Oreochromis niloticus: one gene and its partners. The protein of the gene in region 4 purifies or fractionates together with the protein of the main gene of each other region. This does not show direct contact. Links are inferred from orthologs where the notes say so. Each region holds a gene or a part of one and is shown on either strand. Other genes may lie near its edges. The genes, in order: med16, med24, med23 and cdk8.

Region 1 (7,395 bases), on a different chromosome or scaffold from region 4:
ATTAAACTAATATATTATTTACTACAGAACACAGAAAACACATAAAATGTTTAACCATGGTAAATGTTTGAATAAAAATATGAGCTCATGTTGAATCTGATGGCAGCAACACATCTGGACAGGTCCATGTTTCCTCTTCCATAACATCAGTCTGTGAGCTGAGGCGAACAGCTGAAGATCACAGAAATCCAATACTGATTTACAGCCTCATCCCTGCGCTCAGATCCACTGAATATGCTGATGATGTCTTATTGTGTAGTTGATGATATGTTCACAGCAAGGACTGTGATTCTGAAACAGGTTGGTGAACCTCTGAGAAGCTCCGCCTCTCTGAGAGGATCTTTTTCCACCTGATCACGTGACCGACCTGCTGCCAGCTCACCTTTGATCTTTTCTTTTGCACTGCCGGACTTTGACACACTTTTACTGCTCCGTCGCAACTTTTAGGTCGAGTCGCTGCTGCCAAATTCCACATGAGCTCAGATTTGTCAGTAAAATGTCTCATTTTGAGTATTTACTGTGTTTTTTGTGCTCTATTGTGGATAAAATATGAGTTTATGGGATTTGCATTTTATTGCATTCTGTTTTTATTTGCAGTTCAACCAGTGTCCTGACTGTTGGAACTGAGGTTTTAAAACTGCACAATAATAACAGAGTCTATTTTTTATTTGTCTGTTTCTTTACAGTACGCAGGAATCCAGCCAGTCGATGAGATCAACAACGAGGTATGGGCTTCTCCTGTAACATTAACCCCTTTACTCCTTGTCTCCTTAACTCCTTGTCGTCTTGGCCTGTTTTCAGGTTGTGGAGTCGACTCGAGTCAATCGACATAAGAACCAGGGAGCTCTGCTCTGGGAGGCCGGACGATTTGCCAACCAGGAGAACCAGTGAGTGTGCCTGACTCCGAAACAGGACTCGACCTCAAGCAGCAGGGCAGGAGATCCTGAAATACAGGACTGAGTTTCTCCTCAAGCTGGGATGCAGTGGTTTCTAAAGACTCTCCAACAGAAATGGCTGTTGCTGATTAGTCCTTGAAGATGACAGCAGTTCCCCTTGTCTAATCAGCAGTCCGTTGGTTAGAGCCTAAAACAGAGACAACGTGTCTGATTCATCTAGAGAAAAAAAAGAGTTCCAGTGTTTATCTGCAGACTTTTAATCTGACACAGCAGCACAGGAAGTTTCTGATTGTTTTCATGATGCATCAAAAATAAAGAATGATTTTTAGTCCTCAAACATTCAGATGGTTCACTGCAAGACACAAACATCTGCCAACAGCTGCAGTATTATAGCAGAATCACAGCGACAGGAAGCTCAGTTTTACCTGCTTTCTGAAAAACACTTGAACAGAGGGTTCTAACTTTCTCCAAAAGATCCAGAAACAGGAAGTGTAGCCAAACAGAGCACGCCAAACCCATCTCTGAAACAAAGGTTCACAATGTGTTTTTAGCAGCATTACCACTAAACCTTCCACACAAAATTAAACAATGATTCTCACTGCTTTAACCACCTAAGACCCGAACTGTTTCATGGCATGCATTTTTAATTTCTCTTTGCTATTTGGGCTGATTGTGACCTGATGAATGTAAAAACAAAGAATTACCAGATTTATTTATTATTTTTTTTTACCTGATTTTTGTTTATGAGAAAAATGAGATCCACATATGAGGACATTCGTTTTAAATTTTGATAGAAGTGTGGCAATATAATGTCCCCGTAACTGGATATCAGGCCCCTGTAGAGCAAAAGTTTGTATTTTGGTCTAGACAACCCAAAATGTGATGTCCACATATGTGGTCACCGGGTCCTAGGAGGTTAAACTGACGTTTCATTCTAGTTTATTTGTAATTTACCTGCATTTCTGTTTTTTTGGTTTCGTGTTTTGATTTGATGTAAAGCACCTTTGTAGCACCTGTTGTATCCCGACATGTGCTACACAAATACATTTGCTTACTTAAACACACCGACACAGCACAAAACATAAACACAATAACCAAACACACTGTTTGGTTACACTCACCTCATCGTTATACAAACGACCAACAACATCAGAGGGTACCTGGTGACAGCAGAGAGGAAGAACTCTCTTTAATCGGGAAGAAAACCAGGATCAGGGAGGAGGAGACAGGAAAAGAGGACGTGATGTTTCTCAATAAAGTCTTTCTTTACTTCAGCCCACACAAAAACCAACCATATGGACAGCATCCTGCTCTTGATACAACGCAGAAGGTGATCAAAAAACAGAGGATCGAACTCACTCATACAGCAGATCATTGGATCAGACCATAATCTAGCTGTGCATAGGGATGGGTATCCGGTGCCAGGTTCTGACATAAACGGTAGTAACCAGACCGAAAAGCGGCGCCCATTTCGGTGCTTTTTTTTTCTTGAGATGTCATACACTTTGGATTCTAGCCAATCATTTTACCTTTCCAAGGATAGTAGGCAGGCCCAGGTACGTACGTTCTTTTAGTTCTTCTCTGAGTGAGTAGCTTAATGTTGTTCGTGTGTAATTTACATTGAGTAGGCTAACCACGTTATTAAATTAATGCACGTAAGGTGAACTAGCAAAGACCGTCATAGTTACATGCGGCTGTCTTCTTGTTTGATAGAGTGACACCATATATGCCCTATAGCTGCAGGAAAGGCTAACATTGTTATCTTTTTACAAAAATCCCCCCAGCTAAACATGAGAGGTTTTAGGACAAAGTTTGTGTTTTCCATTGTTTAAGCACCGGTTCGAGCACCGTTTAAGCACCGGCACCGTTTCAAAAGTACCGGTTTGGCACCGGTATCGGATAAAACCTAAACGATACCTATCCCTAGCTGTGCACCCAGTGTTGCCAACTCCTCAGTAAGGAAAATCGCTATTGGCTGTCCTAAAAGTCGCCAGAAGTCGCTAAATGACATCATCGCCTAATTTGCATAATTGGTCATGCTAATGTAATTGTAACCTACGTTGCTGGAGAGAGAAATAACATTGTGGAAGAGACATAAAGTGAGTAAAAAACGTCCTAAATGCATTTAGAATTTATTTAGAACAACAAATTAAATTTATTTTAGCAATTATTGTTTTTTTTAAAGTCAGAATTCCAACCCTGCTCCTTTATCCGGTCTTGGACCGGCAAAAAAGACCCGAAATAGGCACTCTGGTGGAGTTACTTTGTGTGTGTGTGTGTTTATAAGTAGTTTTAAACCTCGTGATCCACAAAACAGCATAACAGTAAAAGAAGAACTGACTGCGTTACAGTCAGTGCGGGAGCAGCGGCTTCGCTCATGCGCGATTCATTTGCAGTTCGGACGCATAGGTGTGAACATCGTCTGCCCTGATAGCAGCTGGGGGAGGACTATCCTCCGCCTGTGAGCGCTTTGGTACGGGCGAGGTGCCCACGGCAGCACCCGCTGCTTGTTGAGAGTAAAAGCGATGCCCACTTTCACGTCAAAAAGTCGTGGCTGTAGCTCAGGTGGCAGAGCAGGTCAGCCACTAATCAGAAGGTCGGTGGTTCGATCCCAGGCTGCATCCTGGCTGCATGCCAAATATCCTTGGGCAAGATACTAACCCCATGTTTGCCTACTGGTGGTGGTCAGAGGGCCCGGTGGCGCCTGTGTCCGGCAGCCTCGCCTCTGTCAGTGCGCCCCAGGGCAGCTGTGGCTACAATGTAGCTTGCTATCGCCAGTGTGTGAATGTGTGTGTGACTGGGTGAATGACTGAATGTAGTGTAAAGCGCTTTGGGGTCCTATGGACTAGAAAAGCGCTATACAAATGCAGGCCATAAATAAATCTCCAATAACACCAGAAAAAGTCGCCAGATTTGTCGCTAGTCGCTTTTTAGAAAAAAAGTCGCTAAGGGGGTCTGAAAACTCGCTAAATATAGCGACAAAGTCGCTAAGTTGGCAACACTGTGTGCACCCTGTCAGTGTGAACTCACAGCTAAAGAAAAAGTCACCTGACACCAGATTTAAAATACGTTTCTGGACAGATGAACAAGATGACAATGCATCGAGGTCGGATATTTTTTCAGCTTTAGTTTCCATTATTAAAAACAACAACTAGTAAATACTAGTAAAGGAAACCACAATAAACTAAAATCGATGCAGGTATCTTTTAATTTTTTTTCCGCCTAGAAGACTTCGCTGAGGGCAGAATGTTCCCGGGGATAGAGGAGGGTGTCCGCGGCGCCCGTCAGATTAACAGCCGGTTCGTCGCACAGAGCCGATATCAAACTGATCACAGAGGTTATATCAGTCATCTCACAGACAAACACGTTTATATTACACGTGGCTTAAACGTCTCGCCTTGACGCTGTTTGAGTAGAGCTTCGGGGTGCCGTCAGTGTTTTATAGTCAGGCAGCTGTAGAGGCAGCCGCGGGGTCCCCACATCCTTTTAACAGAGAGCGGTTTGTTTTTAACAGCAGCAAGCAAAAAGCGCTGAATTCAACTCAAGTCTGCTGTTTCGGTGTTTTAATGACCTTAAGTTAATTTTAAACAGCCTTAAAAACAGGAAAAGGAAAACAGCTAATTTTCATTCTCATCTGGGTGACAGGAGCGGAAAACCGTCAGGTGAGCTAACGCTAGCGGCTAGTGCAGCTGCTCATTCACTGTTGTGACTGAGTACTGTGACCATGGTGTTATTTGGCACGGCCTGGGTGAACAGTTTGATGCTCAGTTTGAAAAGGAAGCAGCTGAACTGCTTTAAGTTTGTAAAGACGTTTCATGCAACAGGCTTCTTTAGTTCTACAAATTAAAGTGGAGGGTCCCAGGTGTTTAATCCCCATTGGAGGTGATCCTGAGGGTTACCCACTATTGATCATGTGAGTCAACACAAGAACCAAGGTATGAAAGAAGGTGGGGCTCATTACCATCAATGGGGTTTAATGGTGAAACCACTGTGAGATGTTGCCCCAGCCCATCGTGTGACCTGTTGAGGACACCTGAGCCAAGGTATGGATCTGGGTGGAAATAGTCGGTTTTGTAAACCCCGCCCTCTGTTCAAAGATGTTCGTTCACAGTGGACATAGATGCTTCTTCCACTAACCATCAGTCCTCTCTGTCCGAAATGTGAACATTGGCATCCTCAAAAGAGTGACCTTTGACTTTTAGATGCAGATGTACAGCTGAGTCTCTCTTCTGTGTACAGGTTTGAGCTTTCCTTGCAGCACGGCACTGCACAGCATACACTGTTGTTTAGTTTGTGTCTGAGTGTGTGGCTGGGTCTGAAGTACACTGGGATGCTTCTATGATAAACCTGCTACATACGGGATTACAGTGTTGTTCCCCTTTGTCCTTCTTATTCTCCCTAGTTGGTGTCTGACCTTCTTTTCTGTGCATCTTTGCTGATTTGATGAAAGCCCAGTGGGGACAACCACATGTTTTAAGAGCTTTCTTCTTTACATGTGTGTTCCTTTTCTTTCTTTTGTCCTTCTACTTGTGCTTTGCTTTTTCACATCTCTGTACCAGTGGCTAAGTGTCCCTTTTGAAAGCTTTACTTTCCACTACTTCAGGTAAAGGTGGCACTGGGGAGCCCGTGGCTCATGCATCTGTCTGACACATGTAGTGGTAAGGCAGAGGTCTGATCACTCATGTTCATCTCTGCTCTATCCACACAAACAGGTCAGTAATTGGTGTTTAAGTGATTAGAGCAGCTGACAAGATTAAATCCCTCTGACTGGTCTGCTTTTTAGGTGACGCATCCACCTGGGCTCTAGATTCTTCTTCTGTGGTGGAATCATGGAACTGGCCTATGTGTGTGAGTGGGAGAAGCGTCCGAAGAGCACACACTGCCCTTCCATCCCGCTGGTCTGCTCCTGGTCCTGCAGGAACCTCGTGGCCTTCACCACAGACCTGAAGAGCGAGGACGACGACAAGAGTACACAAATACACACGCACGCGCACACACACACACACAGGCGAACACACAAACACACGCTGAACTTGATGTTCTGTTTTCCAGATGTGAGTCACATGATCCATATCATCGACACTGAGCACCCCTGGGATGTTTTCTCCATCAACTCTGGACACACTGAGGTCATTTCCTGTCTGGAGTGGGACCAATCAGGTGAGACTTCAGTTAAATGTTTTGGAGATGAGCTCAGCTGATTGATTGACTGTTATTGGTCTGGAATCGGATTGGCTATAAGCTGTTCAGACTGTGCAAGCAGGAGAATCTGCTTTTCTCTTGCTTTATGTACAGTACATGTTGCAGTGTCACGTTCTGCTGAGAGAGACAGGAAGTGACGTGTGTGTCTGTGTGTTTGCGCGTGCTGCAGGCTCACGGCTGCTGTCTGCAGACGGCGACGGGCAGATCAAATGCTGGTCGATGTCGGATCACCTGGTGAATAGCTGGGAGAGTGTCCTGTCGAGCTCGCTAGATGGAGACCCCATCATCGCTCTCAGCTGGCTGCACAATGGTGTCAAGCTGGCACTGCACGTGGAGATGGTAATAGCTGCCCACACATGTGCACACACCTGCTGGCTCGTTGCAGTGATAGCTCTGTGTCTTAATACTCACTGAGACCAGTTGAGTAAGCCCTGCCTCCTCTTCTCCTCTTGCTTCAGTCTGGCTCCACAAACTTCGGGGAGAAGTTCTCTCGGGTGAAATTTTCACCGTCCCTAACGCTGTTTGGCGGTAAGCCGATGGAGGGCTGGCTGGCGGTGACAGTGAGTGGTTTGGTGACAGTGTCGCTGCTGAAACCGGGTGGCGCTCTGCTGACGGCGAGCGAGAGCCTGTGCCGGCTGAGAGGGCGCGTGGCGTTGGCCGATATTGCCTTCACCGGAGGAGGGAACATTGTGGTGGCTGCCACAGATGGCAGCAGCTCCTCGCCTGTGCAGTTCTACAAGGTAAGGACCAAAGATGCTGGTGTTACCAAGGGGCTATCACCTCTGATGCTAACCTGACATTTGCTGGCGTCACCAAGGGGCTATCACCTCTGATGCTAACCTGACATTTTACCTTTGGTTGTTTCAGGTGGTGGTCAGCGTGGTGAGTGAGAAATGTCGCATTGACACTGAGCTGCTGCCGTCACTTTTCCTGCGTTGCACCACCGACCCGCTGAGGAGGGAGAAGTACCCCGCTGTCACCCACCTCAAGTTCCTGACCCGGGAGAACTCTGAGCAAGTAAGACCAGTGTGCACAGTCAGATCAATAAGACAAGTGTGGCCATTAAACCCGAGACCACCAGGACCTTCAGAACTCAGAGGAAGTGTGTACTTTTCAGGTTCTGCTGTGTGCGTCCAATCAGAACGGCAGCATCGTGGAGTGCTGGTCTCTGAGGAAGGAGGGACTTCCTGTCAATAATATCTTCCAGCACCGTTCGCCAGTGGGTAAGAAGACCCAGCACCAGCAGGAAGTGATGTAACAGCCAGCTAATGGTTGACATAGTAACAAGAGGCTTTAA
Region 2 (7,630 bases), on a different chromosome or scaffold from region 4:
TTTCAATATTAGAAGTACTCTCGATTAGCTGCTGTGGTAGTATCACTCAATGAAAGATACTTCTGAAATCTGTGTTACTATGACTGAGAATGTTACTAGATGGAATTTAAGTAGTTCAAAGCTCATTGAATGCTGCAAAAAATGGTTAATATAACGTTATATAAAAACAGACAAAGATTTAATATGATAGCAGCAACATAATCTAGAGGCAGATATTACTATATTAAAGTGAGGTATAAATAAATATATCCTATAAAGACACGCAATGTATTTTTACAAGCAGACACTTCACAACAGTTTGTATGCCAAAGCAGTCTCTAGTCAGACAAATGAAAATAAAACCAGTTGAAAGCGCTGCTGAGTTGACAGTACAAACTGATCCTGAAGTGTGACTGGACTTTATCCAATTACTGAGATGTGTTTTGTAGTTGCCCAAATGGAAGAGACACAACAGCCTTATCCTACAACCCATCCTTGTCATCCTGTGTAAAAAGCCCACGGCTGTAAGCCGTGCACCAGTAGACATTAAAAGACCTCATAGATTAAAAAGAATAATGAATGCAAGTGCCATACCTAACTACAGTCTAAAATTATTGTTTAAAATATTGAAATTTAACATTTTTGCTATCTACAGGTATCTTGTTAGTGCTACAGTCATCAGTTGCATGTTGTAGTTCCAAGTTGTTTTTTTTTCTTAAAGCGTGGGATATTTTACTGATATTTTGTGCTCTTTGTCTGTTCTATAAATGCTGTAATACAAACACTAGAAATGGCAAAATTTTGAAATTCTCTATTATGTCAAATGAGAAGTTTATTGTTTTCTTTTAGCAAAGTTATTCTCCTCAACTTCTCTATGCACACCAATACGACAATTCTAATATGGGTTAAAACCACTCAACACATTTAGGCTTTTAGACATGGTCAAGGCAGCCTGATGAAGTCTAAACTCAGGATCAGAATGAAGAGGAAAAGTGATTTTGGAGGTGGCATGGTTGTTGGTGCCAGACGGGCTTGTTTCAAAAACTGCTCATTTGCTTGGATTTTCCCACACAACCATCTGTAGGGCTCACAGAAAATGGAATGAAAAGAGAAAATATCAAGAGAGCAAAATTTCTCTGGTTGAAAATGTCTTATTTATGTCAGAGATCAGAGGATGGGCAGACTGGATGGCAATAGCAACTCAAACAATCACTTGTTAAATCCAAGGTTTGCAGAACAGCACCTCTTGTACAGCAACCTGAATCTTGAAGCAGATGGGCTACAGAGGCACTCCTGTCAGCTAAAAACAGGAAACTGAGGCTAAAAAAACTGGACAATGATTGGAAAAACATTGCCTAGTCTAATGAGTTTCCATTTCTGCAGCAACATTCAAATTCTAGACTCAGAATTTGACATAAACAGCATGAAAGCGTGAATCCCTCCTGCCTTGTGTCAATGATTTAGTCTGGAGGTAATATAATGGTGTGGGGAATACTTTTACTTTTACCAACAAAGCGTCACTTAAGACACCACCAGAGTGTTGTTCCTGACCATGTTGGTCCATTTATGACCACAGTGTACCCATCTTCTGATGGCTGCTTGCTTCCAGCAGGATAACACACCATGTCACAAAGCTCAGATAATCTCAAACTGCTTTCTTGAGCATCACAATGAGTTCACTGTCCTCAAATGGACTCCACAGTCACCAGATCTCAGTATAACATAGCATGAAGCTCTCATGTCAGTATGGACCAAAATCCCCGAGGAATGTTCACCTTGTTAAATCTATGCCATGAAGAATTAAGGCAGTTCTGGAGGCAAAGTGGTTTCAACCCACAACTAACAAGGTGTAACTAATGAAGTGGAAGGTGAGTGTTTAGTGCATATTAATTTGTTATAGTGTTATTTACTGCAACTGTGCTTTCCCTATGTACATTGTTTGCATTACAAGAGTGGGTCAGCAAATTTAGAAAGCCTCCCCATACACGTTATTCCCAAAGTCGGTTGCCATGGCTTTAACAGCTTTAACCAGATGTTCATGTCTCTCACTTTATTGTTCACCTATGTTAAAGTTGCTGTTTCTACATCACCCTCCAGAAAGACTTTCATTTTGAGTTCAAACCTGAGAGAAAGAAGCTGTATGCAACATTAAATGTACTGACACATTATGTGCCTTACCTTCTCTTGGTTACAGTAGTTGCCTCTAGTCTATCCTGATTCATGAAGCAACATCACTGGACAACCTGAGGGGACAGGAGAGGGCCACTCTCATTTCCTGGTTCTGAACCCTTGGTAATTATCTTGGTGTGCCCAGAGGCCCCAGGAGAGAATGAATGACAGTAATGTTGTGTTTTTTAAAAAAAAACAGAATAGAGAAGTATAACAGATATAAAGATCTAATAGAAACACATGCTATGAAATATCACATTTATTTAGTTCTGCTCTTTCATAGGGATCATTATCTCCTGCCTCTCTGTGCACCCCATACAGGTGGATGATTATGGGTTATTAAGCAATTGGCCCTAATGGATTTAATAAATTGATTACACAAAACACAACGCAACACATAATCCACATAGTTTCATTGTTAATTGCTGGTGTTTGGAGATAGTAGCTTGTGTTTATCTCATTATTATGTAGCTGAAAGGTATTGGTGGTGTTGAGAGAATTAAAAAAAATTAGTTTGAAGAAATAATAAGCATCTGAAAATAATACTTCTAAAAACTATGGGCCATTTTCAAAATTAGATAAGTTGTCAATACAGGGTTCTTTCATAGTGAAAGTATCTACATCCAGGTAATCCTGAGAGACTTTGAGCACCACAAACTAAAAACTAGTGAGTCCCGTTATAATGGGATTACTCAATAGCTTACATAGAAGAAAAATAAGAGTCAGCAAAACTGGGTCTGTCCCGGCAGTGAAGTCATGAGAACAGACACAGAGCTGTGACTTCAGTCTCTCCGGTCTCCCCAGGGGTAGACTCAGATCTCTCAGTACCCTCCACTAATGCAGCTCTCCACTATGTAGAAGGCAAAGGGGATAAGATCACTCTGCCCAAATTCACCGCTGCACACACACACACCTCAACTTCATAATCTCTCCAACCCTCACCTACCAAGACAACGCCAGGACGCATGGATCATCTCTTGCTGGCTGGCACAGGGCCGTCCCAGGACACAGACTTCGCTCTATCAGGACACCGTCTCCAGTGTCAGGCAGAATGAGGGTCTTTGTAGTCATAAACTCAATACAGGATATTCCCTAACAGAAGTAGTTGGGTGGTTTTGATATAGAGAACAGTATCCCTTTTAGCAAGAAACACAACTGAGTTCAAAAGTTAAAAGGAGAAAGAGAAACTCCTGCCTGAGTAGAATTTTTTTAAATACCAGTGCCACTTTCAGCATTGTTCTGAATATATTTTCTTCTTGAGCATGTGCTTTGTGAATAAACAGATTTGTTTATTTATTTAAATCTAAATAAAGGAGCCATTTCCACATTTCCACATAGTTTATTTCACCCCTGTTTCTTTCAGGTTTTATAAGAGTGTGAACTGTTGTAAAGACACATGTCCTGTTTTGCTTTTTTTCCACCTCAACATTCTGACATAATAAACAAAATCCTGCTGAAAGGGACTGGACTGGCACACACAAAAGAGCTACACCGAGGTAGTGAATCACACAGCTGAATGAGGTGGTTATGTAAGACAACAATGCATTTCACTGTATGCATGGATGAAATAATCAAAGAAAATAAATTCAACTTAGTTATATCAGGTATAACTTATGTCATCACTTTACAGCTAACAGTACAAGAAAAATTAGGTTAATGTGGAAACAAATGACACCAGTTGTTATTAAGTTAAGCGTCTGTTTAGTTTGTATACATATATATATATATATATATATATATATATATATATATATATATATATAGATAAGTGTATTAGAAAGACTTGTTCTAAAAACTAAAACTTCTAAAAATACCTAAAGTAAAAGCACTTACATAAGGATTCATTTCAGAATATCACCAATTCAATATTGTGTAAACAAGTTTAATATGGTAGTTGTAGCTAGTTTTAATTGGTCTTCATACTGCTGAGTAATCTAAACCTAGCTAAAATCTCCGATAAATAAGGTGGTGTATAGAGTCCTGTATTTGCCTCCAAAATTTAAAGGAGTAGAAACAAAAAGTTGCATAACACAAAAATACTAAGTCATGCCTCTGCAAGAACTATACTTTCCTTCATTTTCACTAACAAACAAAACAACACTGCAAACGGCTAACAAGACATCACAGGTGTCACGCTAAAATAGCTGTTTATATTAGAAAATTATTCAGTTCTTTGGTTTCATGTTTTACCCTTAACTGGAAGGCACAACAACAGTTTTGCTGCCTTCATTTCCTTATGTATGGAAAAGGTATAAATTCTAAGGTCGAGCTTTGATTCTTACCTTTGTAAACAGCGACATCTGCTGCTAGTCGAGCGGAGCTCTGCCGGTATTCCCCTTCAACCAATCCGCGCGAAGAATACTGAAACGTCAGGAGGTTAACCAATGAACGGGTACGTCTTTCAAAACAAAAACGTCGATTCTTGCGTTGTGAAGCTGGGGTCCTATAAACAAATGTATTTTAGCGTAAGCTTCTAAAAACTCAAAGCGTCAGGTAGGTATCAGATTTAGCACCCTTTTGTAGACTCGTTTTGGTGTTAATTTATTGTGAAAACTGTTTGTTTTCGGCATCAGACAGGAGAAGTTTTCTTTAACTATTTCATTAGCAAATAGCATAAGCTAACGTAGCTAGGGAATAGTGTAAAATAAGCTTGAGTGTTACAGCGTAAAAACGAACAGTGACTGAATTGTGGCCATTTTTATTGATGTTTTTTCCTCCGCCAGGATGAAGATGGTCAATTTGAAGCAAGCCATTCTGCAGGCTTGGAAAGATCGTTGGAGTGATTACCAGTGGGCCATCAACATCAAGAAAAACTTCCCAAAGGGAGCTACATGGGACTATCTCAACCTTGCAGGTTGGTAGTAGTCTGTTTAAGTATACCGGTTCTTGTGTTTTCTAAAGTTGCTCTAACTGTTCCTTGTATATAATTCAGAGGCGTTGATGGAGCAGGCGATGATTGGACCATCCCCTAACCCACTCATCTTGTCTTATCTCAAATATGCCATAAGTTCACAGGTGAGATAAAGCACTGTTGTATTTTAAAAAAGCAAATGAAAACGTGTGAAACTGAGAAGATTCTCTAACCTTGTTGGTTGTTTTGCATGTTGCGATTTGTCTCCTCTCTTGCCATAGATGGTGTCTTATTCCAGTGTGCTTATGGCTATCAGCAAGGTAGTTTTCTGCATGACAATACTCAATGCAAAATTATTTTTACTGTAAGAAAATGTTAATGATCTTAATACTTGTCTTTTCTGTGACAGTTTGATGATTTTTCCCGGGAGCTCTGCGTCAAGTCACTGTTAGAAATAATGGACATGTTCTGCCATCGCCTTAGGTATGTTAAGTGTTTCTAATGTATCTGCATTAATCTAATTCACGTCTTTTAAAATTCTGATTGATGCAGAAATGTTTTATTAGAACCAAGGTATGCAGAAGAGCATCTCTAAATGCACAACACATCAAACAACACAACAAACCATGAAGCGGATGAGATCCAGCCCTGTACTAGCAAGGTGTACCTAATAAAGGGACCAGTGAGTGTGCATCTTGCTTAAAATGTCACTGCTTCTTGTCTCTTATTGATCCAGCTGTCACGGAAAAGCAGAGGAATGCATCGGGCTTTGTCGGGCTCTGCTGGCAGTGGTAGTGTGGCTGGTGCAGGGCTGTGCGTGGTACTGTGAGAAGCTCAGAGAACTGGGTCCATCAGCCAGCACAGAGACCAGTCTTGGAGCCTGCCAGGAAAGGCTCCAGAGTTTGATGAACAGCACCAAGAACAGAGCTTTAGTCCACATTGCCCGATTGGAGGACCAAGGTATATAAGTGTGTGTGGGTATTTGTTTACACATAGGGTTGTGCTCAGTGAAGTCTGGCTGAGATCTGCTGATGTATCAGTACGTCTATATAGTGTGTAAATTACCTGAGGCTCTATTAACATGCTCTCAAAGTTTGTTGGCAGTTTATTTGCCTTTTAATATTAAGTCATTCTAAGGCAAACACCTGCATATGCATGGGATCTGGCAATTGTTGAAATTATTGCCATTCAGCCATAGTGATACAAAAATGTCACTTAAGCTAAAACTGTCATTTTTGGCCAAATCTTTAAAGTGTGTTTTTGTGCCGATCGTGGCATCTAAACAGTGTTTCTGCTGCTGCTTTTTCTCCAACAGGTTCCTGGAGCAATGTAGAGCAAGCTGTGCTTAATTTGATAGATGGTCTTAGTAGTGTGAGTAACTCAACGCTGCTTACTAAATTAGAGGAGAGCTTGTCACTAGTAAAAAGGTGAGGCTGACACATTAATACAGAGCAAATGATCCTCCTAAGCTTTAATTTGACAATAGTTTCAAGCCTCCCATCTGACTTCTTTGTGCCGATTTCTCCACTCTCTTCTTCAGTATTCCCATGATGCTGTCTGAGCAGAGTGACCCTCCAGTTCATGCCTCCTTTCCATCAGTTCATGCCTTCATCATGCTGGAAGGGACTATGAATTTGACAGGAGAGATACAGCCGCTGGTGGAGCAGTTAATGATGATCAAACGAATGCAGGTGAACATTAAGCTGTGAAAAAAATCAAACAGTAAAAATTTAGACTGACAGATTTTATAGGACAAAGGAATTTCATTACACACAGAAAAGAAACATTTCAGCTTTTGGCCAAAATATTACACAGCCTTTCCTGGTGAGGTTTTGTGTGATGTAAATGGAGTGTTTCTGTTCCCATCAGCGAATTCCTGCTCCCCTTTTTGTCCTGGAGATATGGAAAGCTTGCTTCACTGGCCTCATTGAGTCACCAGAGGGCACAGAAGAGCTTAAATGGACTGCCTTTACGTTCCTTAAGGTAAGCTCTACTTCAAAGAAGAAAACTTGGTCCTCTGTTGTCTTTTTCTCTGCCTTTTGCTGCCTTTACTTGCTGTTTATATCATTAACTGCTTCCTTGACTCTGTTTGTTGTGGATTTTTAGTTTAGAGAAGGAATAGTGTGCCAAATTTTGTGCAGTGATTTTATAAATCTCCCCTCTGAGCTGTCTGCATGAAACTAATTTGGTAGTAATATTACTGTCTACACTCCACAGAAATCAGATGAAATTAACTTGTGATTTCTTCATCTCAGATCCCGCAAGTTCTACTCCGACTAAAGAAATATCCTCAGAGTGACAAAGGACAGGTAAAGTAAATGCCTGACTGATCTTTGTATTGTAAGTTAACACCCAGATATTGAGCGCTGCGTGTGTAATGTCATAAACTGTCTTTGTCACTTTCAAATGTGCAAACGTTGCATTTCCCAGGATTTCATGGAGGATGTGAACATAGCATTTCAGTATTTACTTAAGCTTACGCCACTCCTGGACAAAGCAGATCAGCGATGCAAGTAAGTGCTCGTAAATGTCACTGGAGATGCCCCTGATCTCAAAATAAGATTATATACATAAGAAAAGCAGTTATAGCTACTAAGCCTGGTTCTGCCATAGGCTTCTTCCTGTTAAATG
Region 3 (8,463 bases), on a different chromosome or scaffold from region 4:
TGAAGTGTAGTTTCTTTGTTATGATCATATGTTGTATTATCCTCTTTCACTATTAGACAGCTACATTAGGAAAAATACAGATTAAAAACAAAAGAAATTACATTAAAAAAAATATACAGTGTATCTTGTAATTAAGATAAATACACATTTCCTTCAAAGTTCATCATAGTATGATTTCTTCATGTGTATATCAGTAGATTTTCAGCTATAACGGTAACCCTACTAAGTGAGTACTAAGTGCTCCTAAAACTCTGCTTTTATCACACACTGTATGCATTTTAATAGAGCTGAGAAACTGTATACTGGCCATGTTTCATGGATTATCTTTCAATAACAGGGTTAGTGCTTTTTACTGATGAATATCATCTACTGATCCATGGGGATCCCAACAAAGTCCCATTTGTTGAAAACCTTCGCCACCTCACTCCCTGTTTCCACCTGTCGTTTTCTAACTCTTTCTATTCCTCTTCGTCACTTGCTTGGCTGACAGAAACATTATCTAGCCTCAACCTAGCTCTCGCCACATACTCCTCTTCACTCAATCTTCTACCTCTCCCTGAAAGTAGAGGTACATCCAGTCCTCTTTCATGATTGACACTAAAGTCATCTAGCGTGATATCAGATTGGTCCGAGTGGGAGGCAGACATGTTTGGAATGTTCTGTGGGGCATAAGCAGACATTAAAGGCTCATTTTCACAGTTATTTCCTTCCTCCACACCTCTGTTTGCCACTCCCTCCCTATCTGTGCTCCAGATCACCTCTCCACACAGCTCTTCTCCCCTTTCTACTTCCTTGATTGTTTGCGGATTTAACCGAATGCTTAATAGTAAACTTCTTATCGCTCCATCCTCCTTTGATCTCTGAAAAGACTGTAAACCTGCAAACGACCGGCCCTGCAACTGCATGGGGGTTGGTCTGCATGTCCAAGTAGTGTTAGCCTGAGGCGCGTAAGCTCCACCAGAGTTAACGCTCTCAACTCTCCGGTCTCCATCATCTTGATTCCCTCCCCTTGCTTCCTCTTCTCCTTCAACAGTGATTTGAGGAGCCATGCTGATACCCCCGTAGTCAACAGACAAATCATCCAAGGGTTCCTCGGGCTCTAAGGGAGGCTCATGCCTTTGGGGGGAGTACCTGGGTGGGGGATCCACAACTTTTAGAGAGGCGAGGAGGTGTTTAGGGTCTAATATTGTGCAGTCTCCTGGTGGCTCAGGGCTGAGGCGGCTCACTAAGAGGAGGTTGGAATTCTCAGGAGGGAACACAAGAGGAAGCTTGTAAAAAGTAGATGCGTTCTGGAAATTGGAGGGGAAGGAAAAAGGTATGAAATGTTTGATAATCTGCCTTTGAAACACTGCTGAAACATATTATTTATGTGAATTTCAAACAATAGTCTCAGTTTGCAACTATAATTATGTCACTGGGTCCCTACAGTGAATTGTTAAATTCATATTTAACAAAAAAACAAAAAAAAACAAAACAAAAACACCACACCACCCACCCAATCTAACCTACATTAATTAAATTAAGTTCAGGTTAGGTATTGCATTGCCAGTATGTTTATATGCATTTCAATTACCAGTATATTTGGACTGCGCTGGTCTTTCCCAGACAGGTAGCGATGGAAAAGGTAGCCAGCTGCAATGATCATACCAATGCACAAAGCTGGAACAACAATACCCACAATCACACTTTGCAGCTGCTCAATCACAGGGTCTATAGAAGAAGAAGAAAAAAAAACAAAAAAAGAGGGTGAAGTCAGTAAAAATATTTATTCATCCAGCTTCTGATGACATTTTTGGGCTTGTCATTTGAAAAGAAAATAAATCTAAAATCTGAACCATTTCCTTGACCGACATATTTGGCTCACACAAGGAAGTACAATACACCTGCTGCACAAACACTAATTGCTCTTCAGCTTTGATAACACATTTATTGACATTCCTTTCTACATTACATCCGAATATTCTTATTTACAGACACGGTCACGCAATGGAGTTGTACCTTGAGATGTGGTTATGCAGAGCCATGCAGAGGACTGGCAGTGGATTGGCATCGTTGGGAATTTCGACTGTGCAGAAAAGCAGTATTCCATGTTGTACTTCATCAGCCGGTATTTGTACACGCTGCCAACAACTGGGAAATGGTGCTAAAAACCAACAAGTGGACAGATTAGGCAATGCTAGAGAGTGGGAAAGAATTTTGTAAAAAATTGCTGCAGAAAAACCAAAAAGTTTATGCTTTGTGGGTGTAGGTTAGTTTGTCGTCATAGCTAAGCAATTAAAAAAAAACTACCAAAAAAATGAAGGTGTAGTAGGTGACTCAGTGCTCTACAAGGAAGTTTTCAATGTAATGTCTAGCATGAATCTTTTTATTTGTGCCTGACAATCCTGTTTTTAAATGAAAGCAATTCAGGGCAGCAACGTCAGATAGAGATTATATCACCACGTCCTAGAATTTTAAAACTTTTCTTAGTATGGGCAGTCAATCTATAGTAGTCATATATATTTCTACTTGATTTATACCTACCGTGTGGTTCAGATGGGTGTTGTGAACAGAAAGGTTGTAAATCATTTCGGGGTAGAGTGTCGCCATGGAAAGCGCTGGGGTGTGGTTGTTTGATGGATACCTCATCGGTCCCTTTATAGTGATGATGGCACTGGTGTTTTCAATTTCCACAGAAAGCAGTGGGGGCCCCAAAGTAGCTACAAGGTTGGACAAACCTTTGTTGTTTAATGTGTAAACATGTTAAATATATTGTAATGCTTTTGTTTCTTTAACTTACTTTCTGTCTTTGGATTGAATCTTCTGGGTATGAAAGCCCATTTGGAAGACACTCCCCTCTCCACAGCACGAACTTTGGCATAGTAATCCTCATCCGCATCCCACATTTCACTGGTCAGATCACACCACGTCCGCACTATTTCTGTACAGTGCTGCACTGCCTTCCAGTTCACCCGTTTTCCCTTCTTACCTTGAATTCTGTCTCCATAGCTGGCAAAGACAAAGACCCACACACTCAGAGGTGAACTTTTGCACAGGTTGAGCAGAGTTTGCTTAAAGTCACAGTCAGTAAAGAAAATGAACTTAAACAAAGCAGACCGATTTTGAGATCTTGTTGCATTTTATTTCTTTTAGCCTTGCTGGAACTTTTTTTTTTTTGCCAATAAATCCCTTTGGGACTGCATCCAGGCTAGTTCTTGGGAACTATGAATTTTTATTTAAACTCTAAAACATTTACTCACATGGCATATTGCACTGTGTAGAGCGTTTCATCTGCATGATTGCCTTTTCCTGGAAACCACTGCAGCACGTTCCTCAGATTTACAGAAGAGAAGGTGACATTGATGGGGCTGGGGACAGGCTGGGAGACTGAGGGGAGCGAGACAAGAGGTGAGGTGCCTGTCATCAGAATATACACCAGCTTCTAGTTGTCCTGACTGACCTTTAAACTTCTCCTGTGTTTAATGGTACTATTAAACTAGTTGTCCACATATAACCGTAAGGTGTGAGCTGTCACTATGATTCACTGCCTTTCAGACTTTGTTCCACCTCACACAGTACACTCGGCTCCTTATAAATCATTTCAAGTAGGCAAACACCATAAAAGTGTTTGATCAAAGATTCTCTATGGGAAGATTATCCAGACTACATTTTCTGTTTGCAATTTGATCAAAGAATGCCTCTCATGCTTTGATCTCCCGGGTGAGAAACCCGAGTCTGTAAAGTGACTTTACACTTAAAGTAGAGCTCCATGCACTAATACATTTTGTGTGTTAACAAAACCACATGCGTTTATAGCTCGAACAGCCGCTTTCTGTACTTAAAGTGGACGAACTAAATTACAATGTGTTAATGCTTTTAGAAGTTCCCAGTTTCATTGCAGATTTCTTTAATGATCTCATCGTTGGCTACTGTTGTAGCATAAAAGTCAGTCCGCTTGAATTGAATAAACGCCATAAAACTAACCGCACAAAATGGAAACAGTGGAAACAAAGAAACACAGCATCCACAAAGTAACAACAAAGAAAACAGATATTAGCACTTAAATGCAGACCTACCTGTGGAGTGAAAGCTATAAAAAATGAAAAATGTGAATATAGCCAACATCTTTGTATGGAGTCGTCATGTTTTCACAAAAACAAAAAAGCAAATACTTCCAGTCCTCTCGGCAGGTTCCCCCCAGCTCCTCCTCATAGTACACCTGCTCGCAGTTCTCTCGATTAAAGGAAATTAAAACCACGCACTCAAGGTTAAAGTGAAAGAATGTAGCTAAAGTCGGAAGAGTTACATGAAACTGCCACCCAATGAAACCCCGTGGACTGCAGTTAAAGGAATCCCTGCGACCTGACAGGTTTCCGTGTTTCTTATGGGAGAAGGAATGTGACCTTACTCGTTTGTGAACAGTTCACCTGTCAGCCGCGCGCGCGGGCGTGGGCGTGTCCGCGTCCATTGAGGTAATAGGCTACAAAAATCTAAGCTTAAGTATAAGTACTTAGTAAACAATCAGATCCACTCCAATATGTGAGAAGAAAAATACATTATACGTGACTCATTTCCAAATAAATCCGTGAGCTGTGTTTAGTTTTGCTGTGGTGTGGCGTGTGGAGGCTGTTAAGTGGAAACAGGTACAGTTTCCTTAAGATGCTCCTGGGGTGTTTATCCGGATAGCAGCCTGGGTAATAAGGTGCACCATGTTATTTCCTTAGTCCCTTTCCCCCCAGCTAATATCCTCTCTCTCTCTAAATACACTGTCAAATGAGATTAGATATTAAAAATTAATATTGACCCTACTGAGTTAAACCTGGGTAACCCATTTGCAAAGAGAAAGCTGTTTTGTTTAAAGCGTAAACATTTACTCTTACTCTTCTTCATCACACCACAATTATTCCACCACGAACCTCACGAAAGCTATAAACAAAACATGGAAAAATCAATTAGCAAATATCGAGAAGAACAGCAGGTGCTCAAACATCGTCCATTGTGACATCTGGTGGCCACAGATCTGTCTTAGTGAAGGGACAGACTTTTGAATACAGATTTTAAACTCTCAAAAATGCGAGCGTTGTGAGAAATATTTGAAAAAAATAATATTATTAATGTGTAACTTTATTATTTGCAAATTACTGAGGTATGAGAATTACAATTTATAATAATAATTAAGCAAAGAAACAATGGAGCGGAACTGTTCCGCTTGTGTTTCCGTTGCATGCCCGGATTGTTTTTGCCATCGCGCTTCTCCTGCGGCGGCTTTCATTCTGCTTCCTTTTAGCATTTAGCTTGTTGGGGTTATCGACTGTGCTCCCGTAGAGGAGTGACGGGTTTGAATTCTGGGATGGTTCGTTGAATAATTGTCTTTTGGTTGCAAACATGGCGCTTTCGATGGAAACGCAGCTTCAGAGCATCTTTGAAGATGTTGTGGTAACTTGCATCTTTGTTGACTGAGTGGCAGCCAAGCTAACATTAGTTAGCATTTCAGATAACTGTAGTAGTATTTTCTATTTACTGAACTTACTTTGGTTTGCAAATATAACCAGATGGTGTTTTTACTATATGTCTCCAGCTCGCTAACATAAGAATTAACAGCTAAGGGTGCACCGTTAATATCACAAGTCTTCACTTACGTTAATGCGTTTTTATTTTCTCCTTTTTTTTCTTAGAAAACTGAGATGATAGAAGAGGCCTTTGCTGGGTAAGGCTGCTCTGAATTCATGTTAATAACCCCCGATATTTTGCAATTGCATTGTTATTAGCTTAGGTGTAATGTAGGGTGCCACAAACGATTATTTTGATAGTCGACTAGTCACCGATTATTTTTGCGATTAGTCGACTAATCAGATCATGCATCCATTGAACGTAAAACGTACAGTTTATTGCACTAGCACATGTCTGCTCTTATATAACTATCATTAGCTTACAGCTTGAAGTGTTTAAGGTGCTAACTAAAAATAAAGACAAGAGGATAGTTTATTAAATTTAAATGAAATTTGCAGATTGTTTCGGTGGAGTTTAATAAACGCAGCCGTCTGCTCCTTGCTATCTAAAATATAACAGGACACCGGAGTATATTCTCGAGCATCTCACACTTCTGATAATCAGTTGTCTGCTTGACGTTTATTCAGCTGTGTAAAAACTATAACTTTAATCTCAGCCAAACCGATTTACTCAGGAACAAATAAAATACTGAAAAAAGCCCAATAATATCATTTTTAAGTTATCTAAGTGACTTGTACATCATGTTTAACCTGAGTAGCGAAAGACGGCGGTGGGTTTGAAAACGATTTGCCGGGAGTCCGGTGTTCTCACCGGCTCTAGTGAGCCTTGAACCCCGGCTAGGTATCGAGCTAATGGGTAACAGACGTCTCCGAAAACGTCGGAGCGCTTTTGAAAATATGTGGTGTCTTGATAAACTGAGCAGATATTTGAAGTTTACACAGCTACATTCTCGCCTGAAAATATATTAAACGTTTATTTTGTGACCCAGAAAGAATAATAAGAGTAACATTAAAGCTAACTAGCTGCCGCCATTGTTGAAAACTGAGCAGGGCCGCGCTATGAATTCTGGGACACAGCTTCTTCTTCTTCGGGGTTTAACGGCAGCTGGCATCCTTGTACATGCAGTGCTGCCATCTTCTGTTTCAGTCCGTTATTACACTCTTAAATCCTACTACTTATTCCTGCGTCTTTTGGGATCTTACAAAGCTTCAAACGACGCGTTGACTATTAAATTAGTCGTCGACGATTTTGATAGTCGACATAATCGTGACTAGTCGACTAATCGTGGCAGCCCTAGTGTAATGTTAAGTTACTGCACACTGGTAGTGCTGCTGGATGTTATAGTTATAGTTATAGTTTTTACACAGCTGAATAAACGTCAAGCAGACAACTGATTATCAGAAGTGTTTTAGCAGTAAGACTCACAGGCCACTTTGTTAGGTGCTGGAAACATTTCTCAGAGATTTTGGTCCATATTGACATGACAGCATCACACAGTTGCGACACAGATTTGTCGGCTGCTCCATCCATGTCGTCAATCTCCTGTTTCACCACACCCCAAAGTTGTTCTGCTGGATTGACATCTGGTGACTGTGGAGATCATTTGAGTACGTTGAACTCATTGTCATGTTCAAGAAACTAGTTTGATGTAATTTGAATTTTAAGACATGCTGTGTTATCCTGCTTTGCCTCAGTTGCCTATTCTTAGCTTACATTGCCGGCATCCATTATGTTCCTCAGCCGCTGTAGTCCATCTGCCTCTGGGTTTAACATGTTGTGTTTAGAGAGGCTCTTCTGAATAGGGGGGTTGTGTTTATTGGAGTTGCTTTTTCGCTCCCATCACCTCGAAGCAATCTGGCCATTGTCCTATGACTTCAACAAGGCATTTTCCCCCTGAGAACTGCTGCTTGTTGCCTTTTTTTCTCTTTTCTGGACCATTCTCTGAAAACCTTAGAGATGTATATGTGGGGAAAGTCCCAGCAGATCATCAGTTTCTGAAATAATCAGATCAACCTGTTTAGCACCAACAACCATGCCATGTTCAAAGTCACTTAAATCACCTTTCTTCCCCATTCTGATGCTCAGCTTGAACTTAACTAGGTCTTCTTGACCATGTCCACATGCCTAAAGGCAGTTAGGTGATGTCGTGTGATCGATTGATTAGATAACTGTATTGAAAAGATGTGGCTAACAAGAGTGGCCGATGTGTGTATATTAAAATGTACGGAGCAAAATTAAATGCTAAAATTAAGAAGTGTGTTTTTAGGATGTTTATGGACACTCCAGAGGATGAGAGGACTAAGCTGATCAGTTGTCTTGGAGCCTTCAGACAGTACTGGGGAACCCTGCCACAGGTTTTTACACACACACACACACATGCACTCCCACTTGCTCACACTTACATGGCTGAGATTTTTCAGTTGCTCCAACGTCTTTCTGCAGGAGTCTCATGAACAGTGTGTGCAATGGATTGTGCGCTTTATACACAGTCAGCACAGCCCCAAGAGGATCTCCTTCCTCTACGACTGTCTGGCAATGGCTGTGGAGACCAGTCTATTACCACCCAGGTACACAGAGACATATAGTGTGAGATTATTTGACACCTAAAGAAGTAAAATGGGTTCAAAGAATGATTTATAATATTTCCATATATTAATTTATTATATTTAATTTATCTGTTTTATGACATCCCAATATAATCTGTTATTTGTCTATCTCATTAATCTTCGTGTCTTTAGGATGGTGTGCGTGGCCTTAATAAGCTCAGACAGTTTGGAGTGGGAGAGGACACAGTTGTGGGCATTAACTTTCAAGCTGATCCGCAAGATCATCGGGGGAGTGGACTACAAGGTCTCTGACACAAAACTTCTCGCACGCAGACACATCTGGATTGATTCTTCCAAACTCGCGGCCGTGTTTGTGCTTTTTTGTTTTGATTTTCAATGGTTATATTTTTGTTGGCTGCTGTTAAAC
Region 4 (8,468 bases):
CAAGGCTTGCTGTTGTACAGGTATAGTTTGATCAGGAGGAGGGTTTGGAACGTTGGGAGGAGGTGTTAAAGAGTGCAAAGTGCCACCTCTCCTTTGAGTAGCAGCTGAGGACGCCACTGGTGGAGGAAGTGCAGGGGGGCTCATGGAAAGTGTGGTAGTGCTGCTGCGTGTACGCCGTGTCTGCACCCGCCTACTAATGGCTGGGCGGGGGGTAGGGTACGGGGCAGGCCTTGGCGTGGTTGAAGGGCGAGAGCTTGAAAAGGAGGAAGCAGTTCGTATTGAGGGTGATGTATTTGGGGCAGTCACTGGTGGGTCTGAGGCATCCACAGTCTCATTATGCTCCCCTGGCTCTGGCTGGTCATGGTTGATGTTGATCTCCAGGCTAAAGCGGAATTCTCCACTGTTCGGGTTGGTCCGGCTGACAGCACGCCATGTCTGATTGCCACTCTGCCCGCTGCGAGTAGCATTACCAGTGCGTCTGAAAGTATTCAGCCACTCCAGTAATGAGTCACCATTAGAAGTTTCTGCTCCAGGTTCTGTGCCCCCTGTAGGAAGGGGAAAAAAAAGAAGAAAAAAAAGGTTACGATTAGGTAAATTAAATCATTAAATCTACTTCTCTTTTCACAGGTCTCTAGCAGAAATCTTGCTTTTGTTCTCTTGCAACAATATAAAAGCCATTTTAAACTATTCAAAACCAGTACTTAGACTGTATTTACTGTCAGGCTAAAACATAAATACAAACACGGTTCAACAAAGCACGCCGTCTTGTTTGGTACCAGCTTAGGCAAGGTTTAAAATAAATACAAGACCTTCACAGAACATATTATGAAACCTGTCTTTTGTCATCCTTTTTTTTTCCTTTTTCTTTTTTTTTGCTGCCAAAGCAAGTCCTTAAAGATTATTTTGTGTTTTTCCTGTCCTGTGTTTTTGATTTTTTTAAATCAAAAATTAAGTAACTTTTGGCTGTGTTTTGACTGTTGTCGTTATTTCGTCTAATATGCAAGTCTGAGTGTGCAGGTGCCTCTCCGTGATTGGTGCATCCAGGGGACGGATCGTACGGATTGGCTAATGACCGGGGAACAACATATAGGAAGACACCGCCATGGACGGCCGTTCATTCATCCTCGGCCAATCCCAACCAGCAGACTTTGTGTTCCCTGTTTAGCTATGTTTGTTTGATGCAGGAGCATGTAGGGGTGGACTGCCTTTTTGTTTGAGTTTTCTCCTGTTTTGTTAGTTAGGAAGGTAAGTCGCTGTCGTTTGGTTTAATTCTTTTGAGTAGGTAAGTTTGATTTATCCTTGAGATAGGCTCCCTTTGTTTGTTATTTTGGCCTTAGGTCCACCCCGAAGTTTTAATTCGCTCCCTTCCTTTGTTTTTAAATTCACTTATTGTAAATAAATCACAGTCAAAAAGTACTGATTGTGCGATGTGTTGCTTGGGGTCAGATAGGGATGGATCACCCTTATGTTATGGTCTGGCCACCCCTAGGCGGGCCGTAAAAGCTGCTCCATTATTTCCTAAAGCTGCGTACACATATGAAATGATTCGTTCATTGGACATTGCTTCGAAGCTGATGGCCAGTCATTTGTGGACATTCTAAGCTCCAGTTCCCTCAGTAAGCCCCTAATAAGTTTACTACCAGGTCATATGTCAATCATGGGTAGTCTTCAATCTCATTACTCGTCTGTTCATTTACTCCTCTGAAAGTTGACAACGGTTTATCACGAGTGACACCTACTTCCTTTCCCCAGCACTCATTTTGTCTTTATTCACTTGAATTTTGATGACTTTCTAGGGTCTCTAGTCGCCACATTGCTGTGAATTGCTTCCAGTGTGTACGCAGCTTTAGGGGTCACCACAGCAGATGGATCCCTAAAGACCCCGGTATACCCCTTCGTTTGTGACTTCACACGTCACCAGTGCTTGTCACATAGCCACTTCTATTTACTCTCATCGGACAGGCGCAGGTAGCTGCTGCTGTATTCTGATGAATGATAGGTGCCGTGACTCAGACACTACCACCACATTAGTGCTGATAGGAAGAGAAGTAGACAAAACTGAAAGTAAAGACATTTGAAATAAATCCAGAGCAAAATTTTTTCCATCTCTTCAAACTGCTGCAGCATCTCCCTAAGTATAATCTGCGAATCTCTGACCTTCTCTACTGATACATCTTTAAAACTGCAGCGAGAACTAACATGATTTTAAACTCTTATCTTAAACCCTGCTGCAAACTGCCAGGTTACAAAAGTCACGAGGTTGATTCTGCTTCTCACCCCAGAATCAAACCACAGATCTTTTGCATGTAAGGTGAATGTTCTACCACTATACCACAGAGCCATTTAACTCAAAAGTGACTTTGGGGCTTAACATAAAACAAAACATCACAAAAGCCAGATCTGGAAAGATTAAGGGAAGAAGTCCTTCCTACCTGCTCCTCGTCTCCCTCCAGCACCTCTCTCTTCTCCCTCACCGCTGCTGCTCTGCTGCTCTCCAGACTCAGAAGTCTGTGAGCGCTGCTCGGTAGAAGGCTGAGATGACAAACGCTCTTTTGCTCCATCCAGACGCTGGCGGAGCTCTTCAGCAGTCACCTCCCCTGTAAAACAAATATTTCATGGGCTTTGTGTTTTTTGTACAATAAAAATAACTGTGGGTACAGATACAACAACATGGCGCAAAAGCATCAAGTGCCCCTCCTTACCAGGAGTGCCCAGCAGGTTGCCATCTCTCATTAGACGGTACTCCTCTTCACTCAGTTCATTAATGAAGTGATAGTACGCCTCCTCCCTTCGAAGACGCTCTGCCTGCCTCCGCCGTTCATCTCCCCCACCAGGAGGGTCCATCACCGTGTAAAGTGCTGGCAGACAAATAAGCAAGAGTCAGTCACGGATGATCTGTCACTTAGTTACCCTCTGTAGATATTTGTCTTTCTAATATGTTGCAGATGAACAAGTCATGTGTTAGCTAATGGTCATCTGATTCGGTTATGGACAAGCAAAGATCAAACTGTTATATAGCGAGCAGTTGCTATAAATAAGACCAGCGCAAAACACAGTGCAAATATGAGCTGTTTGCTCAACGTTGTCTTTGAGTGACTATTTCTACCCAAGGGCAACAGTTAAATCAACGCCATCCATTTTCTGTCGAAACACTTACAGCAAAAGAATGGAAATGGCTACGTTAATCTTGCTAACGTTTAGCCTAGAGGTTAGCGCCGAAAATTCATCAAATTTAATTATGCCCATGCTCAGTTAAATCCCTACCACGGTAAATCTAAGGGGTAGTGTAACAATGAAGCAGTCATCACGAAACCTAACATTAACGCAGTGACAACAGTATCCACGGAAGGCCATGTTGAAGGCAGCGGAATAAAGCAACAAAACTGGCGTTGTCATCCTGGTTAGCCACCAATCAGCGGCGTAATCTCAAGACGGACACGCCAGGCATCCAATCAGCGTTGAACATAGGCGGGCCGTGATAAACCGAAAGGGAGGCTTCCTCCATGTAAACGCAGGGCAAACAGTGAAAGACAAAGAATCTCGTCAGCGCTATTAGAGAATTACAAAATCGAGATGTTGACACATAGTAGCGATTACGACAACATTGGCTCAACATTACAATTAGAATTGTGGATATTTAAAAAGCCATTTAAGTGCGCAATGCTTCAGCTACTAACTCAGCGCTAGCTCGTTAGCACAACCAGCGTTAGCGACTACCACATAGCTCCGCTAGCCGACCCACCAGCGAGCTACGAGGCTCATTAACTTATCATAATTTATTATGACAGAACGTTTTCTCAAGCAGTGGGAGTACACGGAACCTATCACTTAACCCTAACACACTTTCATAAGAGATGACAGTGGCATGTAAAAGAATTTCGTACCTGACGAGGCAGCTGTAATATGGACGGTTCGCTTTGCTCTCTCTGCTCTCTCAAATCAAGATGGGACCAGCGGTGCTGCACTACAGCGTCGGTCAAAAACAAGATGCCCGGCTATAATAGTTCCTACCTAACATAACATCAAAGCTAAGCTCAAGGTTTGGCTGACCTAGGTGACAGCAGTGAATGTCAGTGTAAAAGCATCATTTATAAAGTTGCTATACTTTTATTCAGCTATACTATACTATCTAAAACTTCAAAGTATTTTTCTCAGAAATGTGAGTTAGTAAGATTACATTTCGAGATTAAAACACGGAAATTTTGACTTTTTTTTAGTGGTGGGAACAAGCTTCACATTAGGGTTCTTGATGCCTTTGTTTAAATTATTTTAAATATTCTAAATATTCAGCTAATCATATATTGTATCTCAGTCATAACTGCCACTCTTTATTGGCAATTATAAAGGTTGCTGGCTGCAGAAGCTAAAATAGCTCTTCCAACATTCCAGGGTATGGTAATGAGTGGATAGGTTCTTGGACCAATCATAGCAGTTTTCCACTTTTAAAATACTTTAAACTGATTCACTTAGATTTCCAATGGGAGTGGGACCAAGATTAGAAATTAGCATATCAGAGGCACACCTCAAATTGAAACAAAATTAGAGAGGCAAGGCTGAGATGGTTTGAACATGTGCAGAGCAGGGATAGTGGATATATTGAACAAAGGTACTGAAGATGGAGCTGCCAGGGAGGAAAAGAGGAAGACCACAGAGGAGGTTCATGGACATAGTGAAGGGGGACATGCAGAGGGTTGGTGTAACAGAGGAGGATGCTAGAGATATGGTGAGATGGAGGGAGATGATCCACTGTGGTGACCACTAAAGGAAGCAGCAAAAAGAAGATGATAAAAAGAGTTTAAAAGTATATTGTTTTTTGTCTCCCTTTTTTATACGTTTCATTACTTTATCCCGTGACTGCCCATTCAACATTAATCTGTTTGGACAGTCTTTTTCTTTTCACAATATAGTGCTATTTAAACCATACTTTACTTATTCTCTTGAATTAAAATCAAATGCATGTCTGCTTTCTTTGTGGTGGACAGAATGTGCAGATATTTGTTTGCACAGCCCTCTTATAGCCACGTAATAACCCACAATACGGAAAATAATAAGCTAGCTTCTCCTTAGCATAAAGACGATACGATGATATCAAGTCATATCTCAGCTATATTTGAGTGAGAGTGAGAATTTCCACGTGGTATAGCCAGCCTACCCATTTTTTCTTTGGCTCTTTCTCTGCTGCAGGGCTGTCTTCACGACGTTTTACGACAATGCCGTGCGCGAATACGCCGTCGTTACCGAGTGAAGTGCGTCCCTTCGGAGCAGATACCGGCTGAAGAGAAACGCAGCAACAAGATAAAGGAATATATTTGGGGCTCCGTTTCCACCTGGACCATCTCGGAGCGCCGCATATCTCCTCCGGAGCTTTAAATTTAAGACGAGAACTCGATGTGAAAGCCGGGCTGGAGGAAGGAAAGAGCCACGCTGGAGAAGGCAACTAGCTGAATTACCAAACCGAGCTCGGTGGAGGAGCCTAGTTGCCTCCCAAGCGACGCTTTAAAAAAGGAAGGAGCGGATACATTCAGGCCAGACGGTGGTAAAAATGGACTATGATTTTAAAGTGAAGCTGACCGGCGAAAGAGAGCGTGTCGAGGACCTGTTTGAGTACGAAGGATGCAAAGTGGGTAGAGGCACCTACGGCCATGTATACAAGGCGAAGAGAAAAGATGGGTGAGTTGATGAGCAGCAAGGCCTTTTAGCCAGTGAACCCTAGCCAGCTTACCCCCCCGCCTCCTGCCTCTCTTCTCATCTTCCAAATAAATGTTACCTCTCTCCTCTTCCTCCCCCTTTCAAGGCCACTTGCAGATGTGGGAGTGTTGCAGTGGGTTTGTGTAGAGACAAAAGAGAGCAGTGTGAGCAGTTTCAGCTCGCACTGTTGGGATGCTGATGAAGCTTTGTGTCGCGCACAAAAAACACCGACATACGGTTTACCACCGGGATTGGAGCTTTCCCTTTTCATGCATCTGTTTTGTCACGTATATGCCTAACTCTAGGTACTATTTTTTATTTATTTAAGCTAAAGTATTTTTTAATTCCCCCCCCCATGCGATGTAGTAAATGTAATACAGCAGGTGCATGTGGAAGCACTTGTTGATGTCTTCTTTTTTTTAAGTCTTTGTTATACATGATACCAAAGAGACTTTTACAAGATTTTGTGTGAATTCAAAAAATAATCTTTAGTTATGCCCAGTTTTTGCACTCTTAAGTCTTTTTTTTTTTTTTTTTTACCCAATTTTATCATTATTTTTTTTATGCTTTTAGCCTTTGCATGAAGTAAAGTAAGGGAAATAGCTGAACCCAAACTGTAGACTTATGTGGTGCATGGTTAGTGTGCTAATCCCTCAGGATGCCAGGGCACCACCCACCTTTCTTCCTAAAACTTTCCTGCTGTTTCTAATGTGAGCCTTGTAACAGCCTTAACTGTGTCTGGACCAGAGCTGGGGGAGAGCTCAAGACGGTTTAAGCTACTAGTCCCGTTATTACAGCCCGGACATACTGGCAGCAGGAACCACACAAAAGAGTCCTAAAGTGTTTAAAGATGTCTGTATTTCGCTTTAGGAGCCTGCTTTTTTTATGAGACTTTTTAGCAGAGTTGCGCTGCTGCTTTTGGACGAGGCCTGAGGAGGCACAAAGCTTGGGTTTATGAGATGATTTAGGCCCGGCAGAGGGAGGGGTTGTAACCAATTCGTTCAAGTAAGCGCCAGTGCCAGTGCTCTGTTTGTCCCTTGCCAGCTGCCAGACAGGCCCTGTTTCCTTTCCCTCTCTATTGTTTTGACCCTCAGAGGTGAGCTTGATTACACAAATTTGGAGGTAATGCAACTCGGCCTCTTCTCAGAGTCCCACTGGCAGCTGCCAAGTGCCCCCCTTTATGTTGCTGTGCAAACGGCTCTCAGGGGGCCCTCAGTCTGGACTGGTCTGGGCTGGTCTGGTGTTGATGTTGCTCTACCTTTCTGTGTGTGTGTGTGTGTGTGTGTGTGTGTGTGTCTGTGTGTTTGTAGGAAGGATGATAAGGACTACGCCCTCAAGCAGATTGAAGGCACTGGCATCTCCATGTCAGCCTGCAGAGAGATTGCAGTAAGAGCTGCTTGGCTTACTCTGTTCCTTTTGTTTGGTCTGTGATTAAACACCTTCTTGCCATTCCAGGTGCTTTATGTAACGTCTGAATGACCTTCACACGCTAGTTTTTGTCAAGAAAATGAAAAATGTGAAATACAAGCAATTGTAAAATTGAAAAGTCAGGAAGCAGATGTTAATGCAGTGCATATAGAGAGTAGACACAGAATTAGTGATATGACGTATTGCCTCACAAGCGGTTTTCTTTAAAACATCTTACTACCAAAGATTAAAAGTGTTCAGTTGAGGAGATGATATCGTGTCCACCCCCCTGTTTAAGTATAAATTCTGGTAATCAGTACAGTCGCAAAAATAAGTGCAAAGTTTCTCTTTCGTTACGTCATTTTCATTCATGATGTCTGTAATGAGATTGTGTGGTTGGCCTTCTGAGTGGGTTTGTATGTTGCAGCTGCTGCGGGAGCTGAAGCACCCCAATGTCATCTCACTGCAGAAGGTTTTCCTGTCACATGCTGACCGTAAAGTATGGCTGCTCTTTGACTATGCTGAACATGATCTCTGGGTAAAATGCAAACACACAACACACACATACACACACACTTGACCTGCATGACATGACTTATCATACATATTATGAGGGTAATGCATGTTGGGTTTTTTTAAAATTGTTTGTTTTAAGCATTTCTTTATTAGTTTATATTCATATGCATGCATGGGTTGCAGATTTCCACCTATTTTTATGAGCACAAAGACATGACTTAAATAGGCCTCTCTTCATAATTAGGTCATAAATGTCCATGCAATTTGATAGCAGTTTTTTGGGGGGGGGTTGCATGTCCTTTCTTTTAAAAAATGCCAAATCCCTTTTAATGCCGATGCATTCACATTCGCTTTCAACCAGTAATAAGGAACGAGACTTGAAATAGTGCTAATTATGCATTGGTAAGTCTCATTAAAGCACACACATCCACCAAGAAGTATTCCATGTTGAGCAGTTAAACCTCTGCTGCATTACCGTTGACAGAAACAGCTGGCAGAGAATCAGAACTGAGTTAGATGCCGTTTTCTGCCACAGAGCTCCAACAATTGCATTCCCCTCCCAAGGAAGTGGAAACACATGTCACAAACATTAGGCTCTCTCAACTCGCCTGCAGCACACTTACATTTTTGTGATCATATGTAGCAAAAGAACATGCATTTCAGTCAGTCTGTACGTGCAAACCCTGCTCACTGTTTACCCTTTCTTTCCATAGCACATTATTAAGTTCCACAGAGCATCTAAGGCCAACAAGAAGCCGCTTCAGTTGCCTAGAGGAATGGTGAAGTCTCTGCTCTATCAGATTCTGGATGGCATCCATTACCTTCACGCTAACTGGGTCCTTCATAGAGATCTTGTA

What was found.
Region 1: the proteins of cdk8 (region 4) and med16 purify together in Homo sapiens (affinity purification with mass spectrometry; 10 studies listed by BioGRID and IntAct, counting the BioPlex papers as one, with this or other methods). This does not show direct contact. The link is inferred for Oreochromis niloticus from reciprocal best matches to the Homo sapiens genes CDK8 and MED16.
Region 2: the proteins of cdk8 (region 4) and med24 purify together in Homo sapiens (affinity purification with mass spectrometry; 13 studies listed by BioGRID and IntAct, counting the BioPlex papers as one, with this or other methods). This does not show direct contact. The link is inferred for Oreochromis niloticus from reciprocal best matches to the Homo sapiens genes CDK8 and MED24.
Region 3: the proteins of cdk8 (region 4) and med23 purify together in Homo sapiens (affinity purification with mass spectrometry; 10 studies listed by BioGRID and IntAct, counting the BioPlex papers as one, with this or other methods). This does not show direct contact. The link is inferred for Oreochromis niloticus from reciprocal best matches to the Homo sapiens genes CDK8 and MED23.

Annotation. Positions count from the first base shown.
Region 1 is NC_031986.2:36,000,851-36,008,245, forward strand, and holds the start of med16 (mediator of RNA polymerase II transcription subunit 16), read left to right. Parts: upstream 1-4,195; 5' UTR 4,196-4,558; intron 4,559-5,455; 5' UTR 5,456-5,608; intron 5,609-5,679; 5' UTR 5,680-5,725; coding exon 5,726-5,864; intron 5,865-5,948; coding exon 5,949-6,056; intron 6,057-6,267; coding exon 6,268-6,437; intron 6,438-6,556; coding exon 6,557-6,838; intron 6,839-6,965; coding exon 6,966-7,115; intron 7,116-7,215; coding exon 7,216-7,321; intron 7,322-7,395. Other genes in the region: misp (mitotic interactor and substrate of PLK1), read left to right, coding at 687-725, 802-891. UniProt on the Homo sapiens protein: Component of the Mediator complex, a coactivator involved in the regulated transcription of nearly all RNA polymerase II-dependent genes.
Region 2 is NC_031973.2:19,693,825-19,701,454, forward strand, and holds the start of med24 (mediator of RNA polymerase II transcription subunit 24), read left to right. Parts: upstream 1-4,510; 5' UTR 4,511-4,641; intron 4,642-4,871; 5' UTR 4,872-4,872; coding exon 4,873-5,002; intron 5,003-5,080; coding exon 5,081-5,163; intron 5,164-5,280; coding exon 5,281-5,319; intron 5,320-5,408; coding exon 5,409-5,482; intron 5,483-5,735; coding exon 5,736-5,959; intron 5,960-6,314; coding exon 6,315-6,426; intron 6,427-6,539; coding exon 6,540-6,690; intron 6,691-6,868; coding exon 6,869-6,982; intron 6,983-7,254; coding exon 7,255-7,308; intron 7,309-7,429; coding exon 7,430-7,512; intron 7,513-7,630. UniProt on the Homo sapiens protein: Component of the Mediator complex, a coactivator involved in the regulated transcription of nearly all RNA polymerase II-dependent genes.
Region 3 is NC_031980.2:6,315,843-6,324,305, forward strand, and holds the start of med23 (mediator of RNA polymerase II transcription subunit 23), read left to right. Parts: upstream 1-5,212; 5' UTR 5,213-5,364; coding exon 5,365-5,415; intron 5,416-5,654; coding exon 5,655-5,686; intron 5,687-7,756; coding exon 7,757-7,844; intron 7,845-7,932; coding exon 7,933-8,057; intron 8,058-8,228; coding exon 8,229-8,340; intron 8,341-8,463. Other genes in the region: il20ra (interleukin-20 receptor subunit alpha), read right to left, coding at 459-1,289, 1,574-1,710, 1,999-2,143, 2,524-2,699, 2,780-2,988, 3,240-3,366, 4,056-4,104. UniProt on the Homo sapiens protein: Required for transcriptional activation subsequent to the assembly of the pre-initiation complex. Component of the Mediator complex, a coactivator involved in the regulated transcription of nearly all RNA polymerase II-dependent genes.
Region 4 is NC_031974.2:18,859,188-18,867,655, forward strand, and holds the start of cdk8 (cyclin-dependent kinase 8), read left to right. Parts: upstream 1-5,192; 5' UTR 5,193-5,542; coding exon 5,543-5,670; intron 5,671-6,998; coding exon 6,999-7,074; intron 7,075-7,522; coding exon 7,523-7,633; intron 7,634-8,324; coding exon 8,325-8,465; intron 8,466-8,468. Other genes in the region: E3 ubiquitin-protein ligase RNF6, read right to left, coding at 1-545, 2,433-2,597, 2,703-2,858, 5,153-5,156.